Diceros bicornis minor: one gene and its partner. The main gene of each other region encodes a partner of the protein of the gene in region 2 in a complex. Links are inferred from orthologs where the notes say so. Each region holds a gene or a part of one and is shown on either strand. Other genes may lie near its edges.

Evidence for each region. Proteins that work in one complex are often made in the same cells at the same time.
Region 1: the proteins of OPRL1 (region 2) and PNOC are in contact, whole or in part, in a cryo-EM structure (PDB 8F7X), measured with the Homo sapiens proteins. The link is inferred for Diceros bicornis minor from reciprocal best matches to the Homo sapiens genes OPRL1 and PNOC. Residues at the interface, in NP_000904.1 of Homo sapiens: Gln107, Asp110, Gly114, Phe115, Trp116, Val126, Ile127, Asp130, Tyr131, Met134, Gln192, Glu194, Ile198, Glu199, Cys200, Leu201, Val202, Ile219, Val279, Gln280, Val283, Gln286, Gln291, Pro292, Ser293, Val298, Leu301, Arg302, Thr305, Tyr309; in NP_006219.1 of Homo sapiens: Phe130, Gly131, Gly132, Phe133, Thr134, Gly135, Ala136, Arg137, Lys138, Ser139, Ala140, Arg141, Lys142, Leu143.

What each region holds. Positions count from the first base shown.
Region 1 is NC_080750.1:65,594,190-65,602,065, forward strand, and holds the start of PNOC (prepronociceptin), read right to left. Parts: upstream 3,057-7,876; coding exon 2,931-3,056; intron 1-2,930.
Region 2 is NC_080758.1:162,281-169,514, forward strand, and holds the start of OPRL1 (nociceptin receptor), read right to left. Parts: upstream 3,059-7,234; coding exon 2,826-3,058; exon of another isoform or gene 2,795-2,825; intron 1-2,794.

The DNA.
Region 1 (7,876 bases), on a different chromosome or scaffold from region 2:
GTGACACTTAATCTGGGTTTTGAGGCATGAGTAGGATTTATTGGCCGAGGGAAGAGGGAGAGGCATGCACAAGATGGCAGGGCTGGTTCCTGGAGCAGAGGGAAGGCCAGGAAGGGAAGGCGGGATTTCCTGGGAAGTGTGGAAAGTGGCTTGAGCCTAGCAGAGAGGAAGGGAGGAGTGGACTTTTGGGAGTTCCGTGCTGCCTGGGGAGGGCCTGGGATACTGGTATGGCATCTCAGAGGGAGAGAGTACATGGAGGTTAGAAGCAGGGAATCTTGGTGATCACTTATGTTTAGAGGGTGGGAGGAGGAACAGGAGCCCAGCAGGAGGCAGAAAAAGAAGAGTCAGAATGGGAGAGAGAGCCAGGCAAGTTCACCAAGAGAGGGGCGAGAGGAGGAAGCCTGCAAATTGGCCCCTGGATTCGGTGGTTAAGAGTTGCTGGTGACTTCCAAGAGAGCAACGAGGGGGTCAAAGTCACAATCTTTCAAACATGACAATGAAAGGAAGGAAAGAGCAAGTGGGAGAGGGCAAAAAAGGAGAAGGCTCAGCAGGAAAATCAATGGTACAAGGGAAGGAGGAGGAAGAAGGGGCAGGAGCGCAGACGGGAGGCAGGTGGGGAGAATGAAGACAGACCCTGAGATGGCGGTAAGGAGACTGGACAGAATTTGTACTTGTTGGCCTCCATCTTCACAGTACAAGGCAACCCAAGGTCATGATGTCCAAGAAGTTGGGAAGGCCACTAGTGCTTCACAATCAGGGGTAATTGTTTCAAAGAGATCACATAAATCCATGAATGATTTACTTTGTAAAAATACATTAGAGCAGACTCAGGGTTATCCTTACAGTTAAGTTCTTAATGCTTTTTTATTGTAAAATACAAGTAACATCAAATTTACCATTTTAACCATTTTTAAGTGTACAGTTCAGTGGTTTAAGTACATTCACATTGTCGCACAACCATCACCACCATCCATCTCTGGGCTTTTCTATCTTCCCGAACTGAAACTCTCATTAAACAATAACTCCCCATTTCCCCCAACCCCCAGCCCTTGGCAACCACCATTCTACTTTCTGTCTATGAATTTGACTACTCTAGGAATCTCGTATAAGTGGAATCATACAATATTTGTCCTTCTGTGACTGGCTTATTTCACTTAGCATAATGTCTTCAAGGTTCATCCATCTTGTTACACATGTCAGAATTTCCTTCCTTTTTAAGGCTGAATAATATTCCACTGTATATACATACCACAGTTTATTTATTCATTCATTATTGATGGACACTTGGGTTGTTTCCACCTTTTGGAAATTGTGAATAATGCTGCTATGGACATGAGTGTACAAATATCTGGTTCAGTCCTAATGCTTTTTTGAATGGGAGATAAAGAGTTACAGTTAAAGCTAGTGATTCAGGAATTGTACGTAACCTTCAGTCTTCTCTAGGCTGCAACCTGAGAACCTTAACAGTGTGGTGATGGTGATATTTTTGCTTAATCAGCTCCTTCACTGGTTTACATGTAAACTAGTTGTCTGCTCTGTTTACTAAGGCCAAGGAAAGTGTTTTTTTTGGATGAACTTTTAAACTTCTTTGGGCTGCACAGAAAAGGCGTGAGGGCCTTCTGTACTTTAGCCAAACTCAGCTTTTCTCAGTTCCTTAAACGCTGCTCCTCTCCCTCCTGTAGGCATTTGCACATGTGCTCCCCCTCCATGCCTCTCTCCACTGCCTGGGGCACCGGGGGCATGCCTCTTCACTCCCACTCATCTTTAGGTCTCCTTAGGGACTTCAGTTCCTCCAAAAGCCCCCTCTGCCCCTCTAGACTAGGTTGGGATCCACTACCTGTGCTTCCCCAGCACCCAGTAATTACTCTCTTGCAGAGGGATTGTGGGTTCCTCTCTCCCACTAGTTGCAAACTCCATCCATCTGCTCATCTTTGGATCCCTGGCCTAGCCCAGTGCTCAGCACATAGAAGATGCTTGGAAGAACCACTATGGATGAATGAGAGGGACAGATACACTTTGGATGGGTTATCTGGGGATGCTCTTCATGATGTGGCAGTCATTACTGTGCAGAAAACAGGCTGGAAGACCACAGAGCCAGCGCAGAAAGAGCTTGGTGTTTGGGTCTGTCAGGGCTGTGTCTGCTCATCGTTAGCACATTAGCCCAACGTGAATACTTGGTTTCTATATTTGTACACTTGCCTTAAGGAACAGTAGTTGCTTTTGGTTGTTTTTAAAGGTTGAGGAGTTTGAAACATGGCATCTTTTGAAAGAAGGTTATTGGACTATAAAGAAAAAATAATTGTTGGATTTGATAGGCGAAGAATAACTACTTAGACTGAAATGAAAGCAGTTGAGAAAGCAGCTTATTTACTGAAAAGAAATTTGATGTTGGATTTGCACCTCAAATTCAAAATTTGAAATATAAGAAGGCATTTAGGTATTTATTGCAGAATTATCTATAATATCAAAAATGGAGGGCAATGTACATACTCAATGGGAGGGGTGTGGTTAAACAAATTATACTGTATTCATAGAAAGAAATTACTTAAAATAATGTTTAATAACACAGGAGAATTATCCTAATATAATATAGCAAGTGAAAAAACTAGGATTCTTTCTCTGGTGAGATTAAAAGTGATTTTAATTTTCTTTTTTTATACTTCTGTGAATTTGCCAAATTCTCTGAAAGGAGTATGCATTATTTTAATAGTGGGAACAAAATGGCAGCATGGGCAGGTCTTTATTTGCATGTGGCAAAGTGGAAAGATGACAGGGTTTGCATTCAGAGGATGCTCAAGTCCACATCTGTTTCCTACCGATCAGGTGACACCAGGTGAATCACGTGACCTCTAGGCGAGGCCTTAGTTTCTCATCCTGGATCTGCTCTGGGGGAGAGAGGGAGGAGAAGACAGGGACGTTCCTGGACCTACCTCAAAATTGAAGCTGTCAAGAGCTGGGTGGAGCTTCTCTCTGCAGGTCAGGCAGTCCTTCTGACAGCTGCTGGACACGCTGGAAAAGAGGCTGAGCAGCAGAAGGTCACAAAGCAGGATTTTCATGGTGCAGGAGCTGGGATCCAGTTGCTAAAACACAAGTGAGGGTGGGTGGCAATTAGAACAGCCATTCTGTGGGGGCCAGTAGGGGCTGGAGACTCTCACACAGGTGATGCAAGAAAGATACTCTTTGGAGGGGACAGCGCCAGGGCCTGAGGTTTACCTCCCAGGAGGAAGTGGATTGTCAAGAGCACAGGTGGCCCGCTCCTGTCAGCCAGGACTAACGTTCATGCAGGAGCTGGTGTCTGGGCTCCTGGGGAGAGCATCTCCGTGATTGCTGCCACCCAGCTGCCCTCAATGTGCCTGAGCACTTCCAGGGAGCTAAAAGCCTCACTTTGCAGCTTACCAGTGTGTGACAACCTCTCCAAGCCTGAATTCTCCTAGCTATAAAAGGGGAATAGTGGTCCCTGCCTTGTCACAGGGCTGTTGCAAAGATGAGATGAGATCTGCAAGGGAAGTTTTGCAAGAGTGAGATGTGTCAAATGAGTGATTTATGAGTGACTCGTGTACCTCATGTCATCCTGCCCAGCCCTGGCCAGGAATGCCCCATGTCTCAGAATCTGCTCTTCCAGGAAGCTTCTGCCAGGTTCCTTGTCCATTTCCCCGCTAGACATGATCCCGCTTCCTGAGCACAGGGCCAATGCTATGTTCACCTTGCTATTCTGTGAAAAACAGGACCAGGCATGTGGAGTTATTTATTGAAAAATGAACACAGATACTATTCTAAGATGATAGCTCCAATGATTATTAGTTATATCAGTAGTTTCTATTCTTTATGTAGGATTGCCTGAAAGATGTGCAGTTTTTCCTGTTCCTCTTTAAACTGATCCTGTGATCAAGCCTCCTGAATCAGAAAGCTATTTCCTTGGACTGCATCATTTAGGGTCCCTGTAGAACCATCTTTACTGAGAGGATTAAGTGGAAAGGGGAACAAGTGAACTTTCTAGAAATGTTGTGAATGTTCTTGTTTGACCTTTAGGTCACGGGGGTGTATACATTTGCCAAAAACCATTGAATTGTACATATAAATTCTGTGCATTTCACTGTATGTAAATTTTACCGTAATAAAGAGTTCAGTGTAGGAAAACAAAAATAATTGCCTTTTCACCAGACTATACTGAAAAAATGTAGAAGCCTTGCTATTTAAATGCAGTCTGCGACCAGCAGCATCAGCATCACCTGGGATCTTGCTAGAAATGCAGACTTTCAGGCCCTACCCCAGAACCACTGATTCTAGATCTGCGCTTTTTGCAGGTTCCTCAGGTGATTCGTACACACGCTCAAGTTTGAGAAGCACTGGTAGAAGATGGATGTGAAAGGGAGCAAGGCAGTAGGAGAAGGAAGGGGATGCTGCAGTTGAAGTCACCCGATGGCCATGTTGAGAAACTACCCCAGCTCTTTTTGTGCATCATCCAAGCATTTCATACCAAGAGGGTGTTGACTAAGAGATGCTCAATCAATATTTGTTAAGTCAATGAGGCAACATTTGAGATGGGTTTTGAATGATGATTGAGAGTTTGCCAAGAGAATAAAGAAAGGGGCGTCTGAGAGACCCAGGAAGCAGTCTTTTCAAAGGCACAGAAGAGTCAGGACCAGAGCCTGTGAGGGGATAGGGAGCAGGCTGTTGTGCTGGGGCCACCTGCCCACACTCCCTGAGGGAAGCACCCTGCCGAAAGAGAGGCTCAGTCCAGAGGAACAGGGTCTGGTTTCCATCCTAAAGGGTTTGAGCTTTACCCTACAGGTGATAGGATGTCCTGGGCTAATGAACACAAGTATCTATGCAAATGAGTATATCTCCAATGCAGTTTTTCTTCTCTATCTTGAGGGCCAGTACCTTAGTTGAGATTTACTGCCTTGGTTACTGTGATAGCCTCCTAATTAGTCTGCCTAATGGTCTGGCCTCCCACCAAGCCATCTCCAAATTGGATGATGTCACTTCACACTTAAAGTAATTCTATAACCCCCATTGGGACTGCTCCTGCCCACTTCTCTAGTTTCATCTCCAGTCACTCACCCTTGTACCTCCCCTAGTCCTAGTGAATCACATATTGTTCCCAACTCTATTGGGTCCTTTGTGAAATGCCTTCTTGGCACTTGCTGTTCCTTCTGCCCAGAACACGTGTCTCCAACTCATACTTCATATACACCTCAAGACTTAGCCCCTCTGGGAAGCCATCGCCAACCCTGGTCTGAGTTAGAAGAATCTCCTCTGCTTCTGTGGCACCGCAACACAGCACATCATAGTGGGAAGCAAGTGAGCCTCAGAGGCCTGTCTGTCAACCAGGCACAACAGACCTATGTCGCAGAGTTGTTGTGTTTCGCGTTTTCTCATCTGCTCATCACTACAGACTGCCTGGGTTCACATCCCAGGTCTGCAATTCAACATCTCAGTTTCTAATCTATAAAAATGGGGCAATAATGGTGTACCTATCTCATATGACAATTAATGGGTTAGTGTTGGTAAGCAGTTAAAATAGCACCTGGCACAAAACAAGTACTATAGAAAAGCAAGAACCCAGCACGTAGCCTTCATGCTATAGTACTATCATTGTCTCTTGCATGGCACTTACCACACTACACTGTAAGCTTGGACTTATGTGTCCATTTCTCCTGCTGGACTGTGACTTCCTGAAGGGCAGAGATTATATTCTATGGTCCTCTATCTTTCTAGCATCCAGCACAGGGCCAGGCACTTAGGAGATGCTAAAAAATGTTTGATAAATGACAGTGGAGTATCTCAGGAGCCCTCTTCCTTCTCCTTAGCCAGTGTCGACTTGAGGAGTTTCTAGGATCATCTGCCTCATTGGGGGCCCAGGATGCTCACAGCACAGGAGCCACTTCAGGACCTGTGTTACTGACAAAGCATCTCTTAGCTAATTGTTCAGTTTGAGGGGAGAGGCATATGAACTAGTTTTGTTCCAGAGCAAGGCAAGATGCCATCCTAAGCTGGAACCTCATGTTACAAATGGCCGTGAGGCATGGTTGGAATAGTGTTATATGCTGAGTTTGTACAGGTTAAATGGGTATTGGTAGACAAGCTATGGAAGCTCATCACCACTTACGGGTTCTTTTGAAGAGAAAATGTATCTTGAATTCCAAACAGCCATCATATAAGCAAAAGTCTTAAATTGAGGACTACATGAATATGTCTTTTCTTTGAATTGAGAATTCCCTTTACATTTCTTATTCTACTAAATTTCAGTCTTCCTAGTCGGGAGACATTTTTGTAGAATTTGTCCAGAATGGCATGGCTGTACTCTTTATGGCCACATGATGGCAGTGCCTGCATGTCATAGAAGAAAGGGAAGGAGAGGAGAAAAGGGACTGTTTCCTTTCCTTCCTAATACAAAATTGCAATCCATAATGTTTGCATAGGCTGAGGTGATATGTTGTGACAGATGTTAATGAAATGCTCTCTGGCTGAGGTTTTTCATGAACTTCATTAACCGGGGCAACTTGCACATTCGGGAAGTGTTTGGTGGAATGACTGATATTTGTTATCTCAAATTCTGGGTAAATGGGTTTTTAGGGTGAGGTGAAGAAAGAAAATGAGCTCCTGGGGCGTTTGGCACATGTTCCATTTGGTAGCCTTCCTGCATGTCAAGTGTGGGCCTTCTTCGGTTTGGCGCTATGGGAAACTTCGTCAGATCTACCTGACCTTCGCCCGGCCCTCCCTGCTGGTCCGTGGTACACCTCTCTTCTAGTCTCCAACCTCCCTACCCCTCTAGATCCCACCCCTCACTTTTAACAAGTGACCCCACCTATTATTTAAAAACCATCCATACTCAACGCCATTCATTCTCCTTTGCAGTTCAAAGAATCCTTAAAATGGGAATGACAGCACAGTCCTATATCACAGGTGGTTTGTGATATTTAGAGATTAATATAAATGAAAGCTCAAAATAGATGTAATTATCCTTAAGAAGGGACAACATTTTATACTTTTGGGTACTCCTCACAACACCTAGTACAACTGTGTTCTGGGTTAAGTTAGATTTTGAACTTTATTGAAAACTCAATAAAAGTTTTTCATTTTTAAGATGTGTTGACAGCACCTATGTGGTTTTTTTGTAGCTCTGTCTGTAAGTTAATGCCAAGTAAGATGAAAGTGAGTAATTAGTCAATTCATGAGTTATATTTATGATTAATCTTTACACTTTGTACCTGTGTGACTTTGGGTAAGTATTTCACCTCTGAGAGCTTCAGTCTTCTCAACTGCAAAATGGGGGTAACAACAGGTTTTTGTTGTTGTTGTTTATTGTACCATACTGACCATCAGTAAATAAAACTTCCCTGAATATGTTTGAATTTTATGGCTTGTATTTCACTAGGTGAACCAAGTTCAGCTAACACTTCTATAATCTGGACATCTCGTATTGAATAAAGAAACGTTTAATTAACCTTTTATTTTGGTAATGACACCTCATAAATTTAATTGTACCTCACTGTTTATAAAGATAAAATACTACTGTGTTTCAGCCTCAATCTATTTGCATGCAATCTTGCTTCTAAGGGCAGTATAATTAGTCGCTTATCTGTTTGGAGAATTACGTATGAAGCTTTAGCTGAAGCTAAAAGTTAATTGAGTTTTGTCTTATGACCTACGAGAAAGCCTGTAATTTTGGTGCTTTTAGTGGCAAAGGGAAGAGGGGCAGCCTTCCTGCTGGAAGCATATGCATCCCCATCCTTCTCATCAACCACATGTGTAGATTTTGTTCTTTATAGGTTACAAAAGATTTTTATATTCATATACAACCCTATATCTAGGGTTAATATTATCCCCCTTTTTGAGATGAACATAAGCTCATAGAGGTTGAGCAACTTGC
Region 2 (7,234 bases):
AAAATGGGGCAGTCACTTTGGAAGACAGTTTGGTGGTTTCTTACAAATCTACACAGACTCTTACCATACGATCCAGCAATTGCACTCCTTGGTATTTACCCAGAGGAGGTGAAAACTTATGTCCACACAAAAACCTGCACATGGATATTTATAGCAGCTTTACTCACAATTGCCAAAACTTGGAAGCAACCAAAATGTCCTTCAGTGGGTAGATGGACAAATAAACTGTGGTCCATCCAGACAATGGAATATTATTCAGCGCTAAAAAGAATGAGCTGTCCAGCCATGAAAAGACATGGAGGAACCTTAAACGCACATCACTCAGTGAAAGAAGCCAGTCTGAAAAGGCTATGCACTGCATCATTCTAACTATACGCCACTCTGGAAAAGGCAAAACTATGGAGACAGTAAAAAGATGAGTGGTTGCCAGGGGTAGAGAGGTGGGGAGTGATGAATAGGCGGAGCACAGGGGATTTTTAGGGTAGTGAAACTACTCTGTGTGATACTATAGTGATGGACACATGTCCTCATACATTTGTGCAAACCCACACAATGTACAACACAAAGAATGACCCCTACTGTAAACTACAGACTCCGGGTGATAAGATGTGTTAATGTAGGTTCATCAATTATGACAAATGCACCATCTGGTGGGGGATATTGGTAATGGGGGAGGCTATGCATGTGTGGGGGCAGAGGGTATATGGGAAATCTCTGTACCTTCCTGTCAATTTTGCTGTGAACTTAAATAAAACTGCTCTAAAAAAACAGTCTTTAAAAAAGAGCAGGGTTTGGAACTGGGTGTTTCTGAATTCTGAGGGAGCCCACCCCAGTCCGCTGGCTCAGAGTGTACTGTGCTGCCTCTCGGGCCAGCGCAGTCACAACAGTTCCTGCACATCCCTCTCTCTGGGGGCTGCCTGTGGCAAGACAACCTTCCTTGTCTGCTGAAATCCAGGACGTGGCTCTGGGAGCTGGGATGCCCCAGCGAGGGAGACACAGAGGAGAAGCACTAACAACAAGAAGGACGGACGGACCATCCAGACTGCTGCACTTCTCACCCACAACACCTCCTCCAGCCACGAAGGGGCGTGTGAGTCCAGTCCCCTGAGGGTCAGCACTGGGGAGGGGGCAGCTGCTCCTCCCAGCCCCTTGCCTGAGCATGCACCCCACACACACCAACACACACACCATGCACACATACGGGTGCATGCTCACACATACATGTACAGCGTGCATGTGCACACTCACACTTACGTGTACACACATATGCGCGTGCACGCTCACATGCATGTACACACGTATGTGCACACTCACACATGCAGGTATGCACATGCACACGTGCACATCCCCACACTGCCCCCATGCTGTCCCCATACTCTCCACCCACACTGTCCCCACACTGTCCCCATGCCGTCCCCACACACTGTCCCCCACACTGTCCTCATGCTATCCTCCACACTGTCCTCACACTGTCCCTCTACACTGTCCCCACACTGTTCCCCACATTGTCCCTCTACACTGTCCCCACACTGTCCCTCTACACTGTCCCCACACTGTCCCCACTGTCCCTCCACACTGTCTCCACACTGTCCCTCTACACTGTCCCTCCACACTGTCCCCACACTGTCCCTCTACACTGTCCCTCCACACTGTCCCCACATTGTCCCTCTACACCTACCCTCCACACTGTCCCCACACTGTCCCCCCACACTGTCCCACACTGTCCCCACACTGTCCCCACACTGTCCCTACCACACTGCCCCCACACTGTCCCTCCACACTGTCCCCACACTGTCCCTGTACACTGTCCCTCCACACTGTCCCCACACAGTCCCCCCACACTGTCCCTCCACACTGTCCCCACACTGTCCCCACACTGTCACCCCACACTGTCCCCACACTGTCCCCACCACACTGTCCCCACACTGTCCCTCTACACTGTCTCTCCACACTGTCCCCACACTGTCCCTCTACACTGTCCCTCCACACTGTCCCCACACTGTCCCCACACTGCCCCCCCACACTGTCCCCCCACACTGTCACCACACTGTCCCCACACTGTCCCCACCACACTGTCCCCCCACACTGTCCCCACACTGTCCCCACACTGTCCCCACCACACTATCCCCACATTGTCCACCCACACTGTGCCCCAACACTGAACCTCCACACTGTCCCCACCACACTGTCCCCACATTGTCCACCCACACTGTGCCCCCACGCTGAACCTCCACACTGTCCCCACACTGTCCTCACTCTGTCCTCACACTCCCCCACGCTGTTCCCCTGTGACATCTCCTCGCCCCGCAGCCCACTCTGAGCACTGACAGACGCTGGCGTGGGCCCAGACACCAGCTGTGAACCCGGAGCCCTGGAGCCGGAGGGAAGGGGCTTCCGGCATCCGCCCAGCACCAGCCCTGGAATGGGCTGACGAGCTGCTTCTCGGGGCTGCTGTGGGACCCACGAGGTCCTCACACAGCGGCTTGGCTGGGAGCCGGGCCCATGGCTCAGACCAGGGAGTGTCATCTGTCAGGAGTAAGGGTAATGTTCCGTCTGGGACAGAGCTGCGCCCTCCTCCCCGCCAAGCCTGGGCAGGCAGGGCTGGTCCCCTCCTCCTCCTCTCCCTCTAGTCTGGTGCCCCCACCCCGAGGAGCTGAGTTTCCTGGGCCTCAGGACTGACCCTGCCCCATGTCAGGACGACCAGGAACTGCATGGGGGAACAGGAAATCCCCACCAGCCAGCCCAGCCAGAACAGCCCCTGCCGGTTTTCCCTCTGCAGCCTTGTGGGTCTCACCAGGCAGGGACCTCAGCGGGGCCCAGCCTACCTGAGGATGACATACATGACGAGGCAGTTCCCCAGCAGCCCCCCGACACACACGGCCAGGTAGAGCCCCATGATGGTGACCTTGAGCCCGAGGGGCAGGAAGGCGCCGTGGCTGGCGTTGAGCAGCAGGTGGGGGGGCAGCAGGCTGCGGTTGGGGCTCAGGAGGGACAGGTTGCCCTGCAGGTGGCTGCCATAGAGGACCTCCCAGAACGGGGCAGGGAAGAGGGACTCCATGCTGCTGCCCTGCGTGGGAAGCCACTCGGTACCTGGGAGGGCACAGGGACATATGACTGCAGACCCAACACCCACCCCACCACGGCCTCCGCGCACAGTGTGCGTGGTCCAGCAGGCACATGGATGCCCGTGGGCAGCCGCAGACACAGAGGGACACATGCACACACACACAGGGACACATGCACACACAGGGACACGCAAAGCACAGAGACACGCCTGTATATGCAGGGACACACAGGCACACACGGGCACACACACAGGAACACAGGCACACGCACACACACACAGCGACTCGTGGAGACATGCAGACATGTATGTACAGACAGGGACACACAAACACAGAGGCACGTACGTACACACAGGGACACAGTCTCATCTGCCTTGCAGACTCCCACATGGGATGTGTGGACGTAGTTACACACCAGGACACGTGTCCACCCACAGGGACTCAGGGACACGCAGCCACCCGTGTGCTCACAGGCGCAGGGGCACATGGGTGCACACACACACACAGATGCCCAAACATGCCCTCAGGCACACGCAGGCACAAAAGGGGCTAAGACGTGCCCAGAAACACCTGGGACAGAACACAGGGTGGCCGAGCGCACGGCCGCCTCCTGTCCCTCCGCAATCCTGCCGGAGAGCCGCAGGCTGTCTGCAGGTCACCCCCACACCCGACCCCCAGCAACTCAAGCCTTACCTCTGCAACCTCCCGGGAGCCAGACACTGGAGACCCTAACCCTTGGCTGGATGGCAGAGCAGGGCTGGGACCCCCTCCCCGCCTCAGCCCCCCGTCTGGATGGGGCGACGGTGGCAGCGGCGGTGGCAGCTGCTCCTTCTCAGTAGACTAGTAGACTAGACGCAGCAGCCTAGCGCAGAGCTGGGGGAGGGGAGGAGGCTGCAGCTCCAGAAGGGGAGGCGCCACACAGGCTGGAGGAGGGGGCCACAGGGAAGGGGGGTCACCAGGGCCCACGCTAGATGGAGACAGACGCAAGACCAGGGCACACACCTAGTGATGAATGACAGAGAGAGGCTTAGACTCACAGAGCCCGGACAGAGACTGGCTCAGACACAGTGACAGAGATGCACACAGGAACTCAGACACAAGAACAGGCACACACAAGGACACACAGGGACTCAGGGACAGGCACATGGGAACTCACACAAAGACACGGAAAGAAACAGAATACAACACCTGGGACAGAGTCTCGGGGAGACACACACAGGACACGCAGACATGGGGCCACAGCTCCCACACAGACACACGGCCTTGGACGAACTCAGACCAGCCTCGGTTGGCATCCTGTGTCCAGAACAGCGCCCCTCAGCCAGGCTCCTCAGCTGAGCCACAATGCGCCAGCAGGTGGGTGGACACGTGGCAGGGCCCCTGCATGGCCAGCTCTGAGCAGACCAAAGCCTTGTTGTAAACAAGAGGACGCCAGGACTCTGCTGTGCACCCTGCATGCCCACTGTGTGCCTCATATGCCTACTGTGCACCACGCCCATCATGAACATGATCACCCATCCCCACTGGATCTGGCCATTGCCATCAGCACCACTTTTGTGCAGACAAGAGCATTAAGCCTCAGAGGTGTGAAGCCACCTGTCAAAATGGCAGAGACAGGGCTCAAACTCAGGTTTGTCTGGCACCGAGACACACCAAGGGCGTCTCTGCCACAGCTGGGTCCCAGAGCAACATCTGAGCCTCATTCCTTCACAGCCTGGGCCCCCAGCACCCACGCAGCTGAACAGCTCCCATGGAGCTGCCTCCTTCCCAGCCTGAAGTCACAAACCATGTGGGTGACCCCTGAGCTGAGTCGCCAACTCCACCTAGTCCTGGGGTCATTCTTCCTGCACGGGCCCTACCCACACAGCCCAGACCCTTCTCAGAGCATCCGTCTCCAAGGATGGGGACCTGGTTGCTAGGCGACCTGGAGCAGCGTCGCTAGGATACCTGGTGAATCAGGAGGGGACAGGGCAGGCAGATGCCCCAGGACTCAGCATCCCAAGCTGTCCCCCAGGACTTATCTCTGCATCTTCGCTGCAGCCTACTCAGGGACGCGTGTGGAGACACAGGGCATGTCCCCAGAGACACTCAGGACACACAGACTCACATGCCCGCAAACAAACATAAAGATGCCCAAGCAGGCACACGGGTAGACACACAGACATGGGTGCACACGCAGAAATGCACAGACACTCACAGGGACGCACAAACACGTGTGCACACACACACACACAGGTGCACGTGAGGCACGTGAGTAGACACAAGAGAACAGGAAAACACACAGATCAAGGCCCCCAGACGCCCAGGGAACAGACGCGTGCACCATACTCTGCAGACAAAGCTCAAAGCACCTCCTGCTGACCTCAGGAGCCCAGCAGGGGCAGGAACCCAGGGAGGCTCGGCCTCCTGTAGCCTCCCCGAGCTGGGCTCCCCCAGGCCTGACCAGCCAACCTCAGTCCCTCCTGACCCAGTTGCCTGTGCCTCCACCTGCTCGCCAGCCGAGAGGGCTTTTTCATACTGGCCTTTAGTCGCCTCCCAGCCCAGCAGGCCTCAGCTGGGGAAAGGGATGGGCCATGAGGTGGCTTTGAGGCTGGACGTGAGTTACGGTCTGGACAGAGACCCTGTGAGAGTGCATCTGACAGAGCCGGCACAGGACAGCTGGAGGCCGATACCTGGCCCCTCACAGGCACAGTCTCAGCTGAAGGACAGGCTTAGTCACCTGGCTGATGGGTAGCCAGGCCAGGATGCTGACTACACTCCTTGGGGGTGGCAGCAGCCCAGCCCTGGACACTGGAGGGCACCCACAAAGGGGGCTGACGCCTCTTGACTCCTGAGCGGAAATGGTCTAGGCCTCTCTTGACCCCTGAGCAGCCAGAGTAAGACACAGAACATATGTGTCACACGTGGACACATGTGACAGCAGAGGACACGTGTTATATGAGCGAGTATTTAGGTCAAAGTAGGACAACTTCAAACACACGTCATATGTAGGCAAAACAGAACACGCAGGGACACAGGGACGGCCCGAGACACACAGCTTGCGAATGATAGCACAGAACACAAACTACGGTCGGAGCCCACCGGCGCCCTAATCGGAACTCAGATGCATCTGGGGCAGGACCCAGGTCCCAGCATGAGATTCACACCCACACCCTGCGGTAAACACACTCCACTCTCACCCCAACGACTCAGAGCCTCACAGGGCGGATGGCAGACTCCAGCGCCAGCTCTGCCGCCTGGGGCAGGCGTGCTGTCCGCTCCCCGCTCTGCACGCTTCACCACCCCTGGGCTGGGCACAGGAATCAAAGCATCGTCACTGGCAGCCTCACACAACAGCCGTCCCCTGGGGAGTTCAGTCACCAAGCCACACTCAACCACTTGTGCTGTCAAGAAACTGAAACTCAGAATTTTTAATAATTCTGAATTTCATCACAATAAATTATTTTGTTCTTATGATTTCAACTTCATAATATTTATATACAGCAACAAGAGAATTGAGTTGTAGATTTTCAATTTAATGTTAAATTTTGTAGCCATTTGATAAAGCTTATTAATTTTATTTTGAAGTTTATTTTCAGGCTTTGGCACCAATCAGCATGCTCTTATTTATTTTTTTTAATTTTTCTTTTTTTTGAGGAAGACTGGCCCTGAGCTAACATCTGTTGCCAATCTTCCTCTTTTTGTTTTTTTCTCCCCAAAGCCCCAGTACATAGTTGTGTATCATAGTCGTAGAGCTGTAGCTCTTCTATGTGGGACCCCTCCTCAACATGGTTTGATGAGAGGTGAGTAGGTCCGCACCGAGCATCCAAACCGGCAAACCCGGGGCCACCGAAGAGGAACGCGCGAACTTAACCGCTAGGCCACCGGGCCGGACCCCCAGTCAGCGTGCTTTTAGATCTCAGCACTTCCACTGGCCCTTGAAAAACACACGAATCCTGGACTCAGAAACAGATGGAGGACACCTGCCTGGTGGTGCCTCACAGTTGCTGGGCCTCAACAGACACACAGGGAACAGCTGCCCTCCCAGTGGAACCACAGGTGTGTGGAGAAGCAGGAAGAAGCCATGCTCAGGGATGTGGGCTGTGTGGGCACCAAGCCCTCCAGAAATTACGGAGGGAGGAAGTGTCAAAGTTTTTCAGTCCTACAAAAGCAGAGGGAAAGTCCCAAGT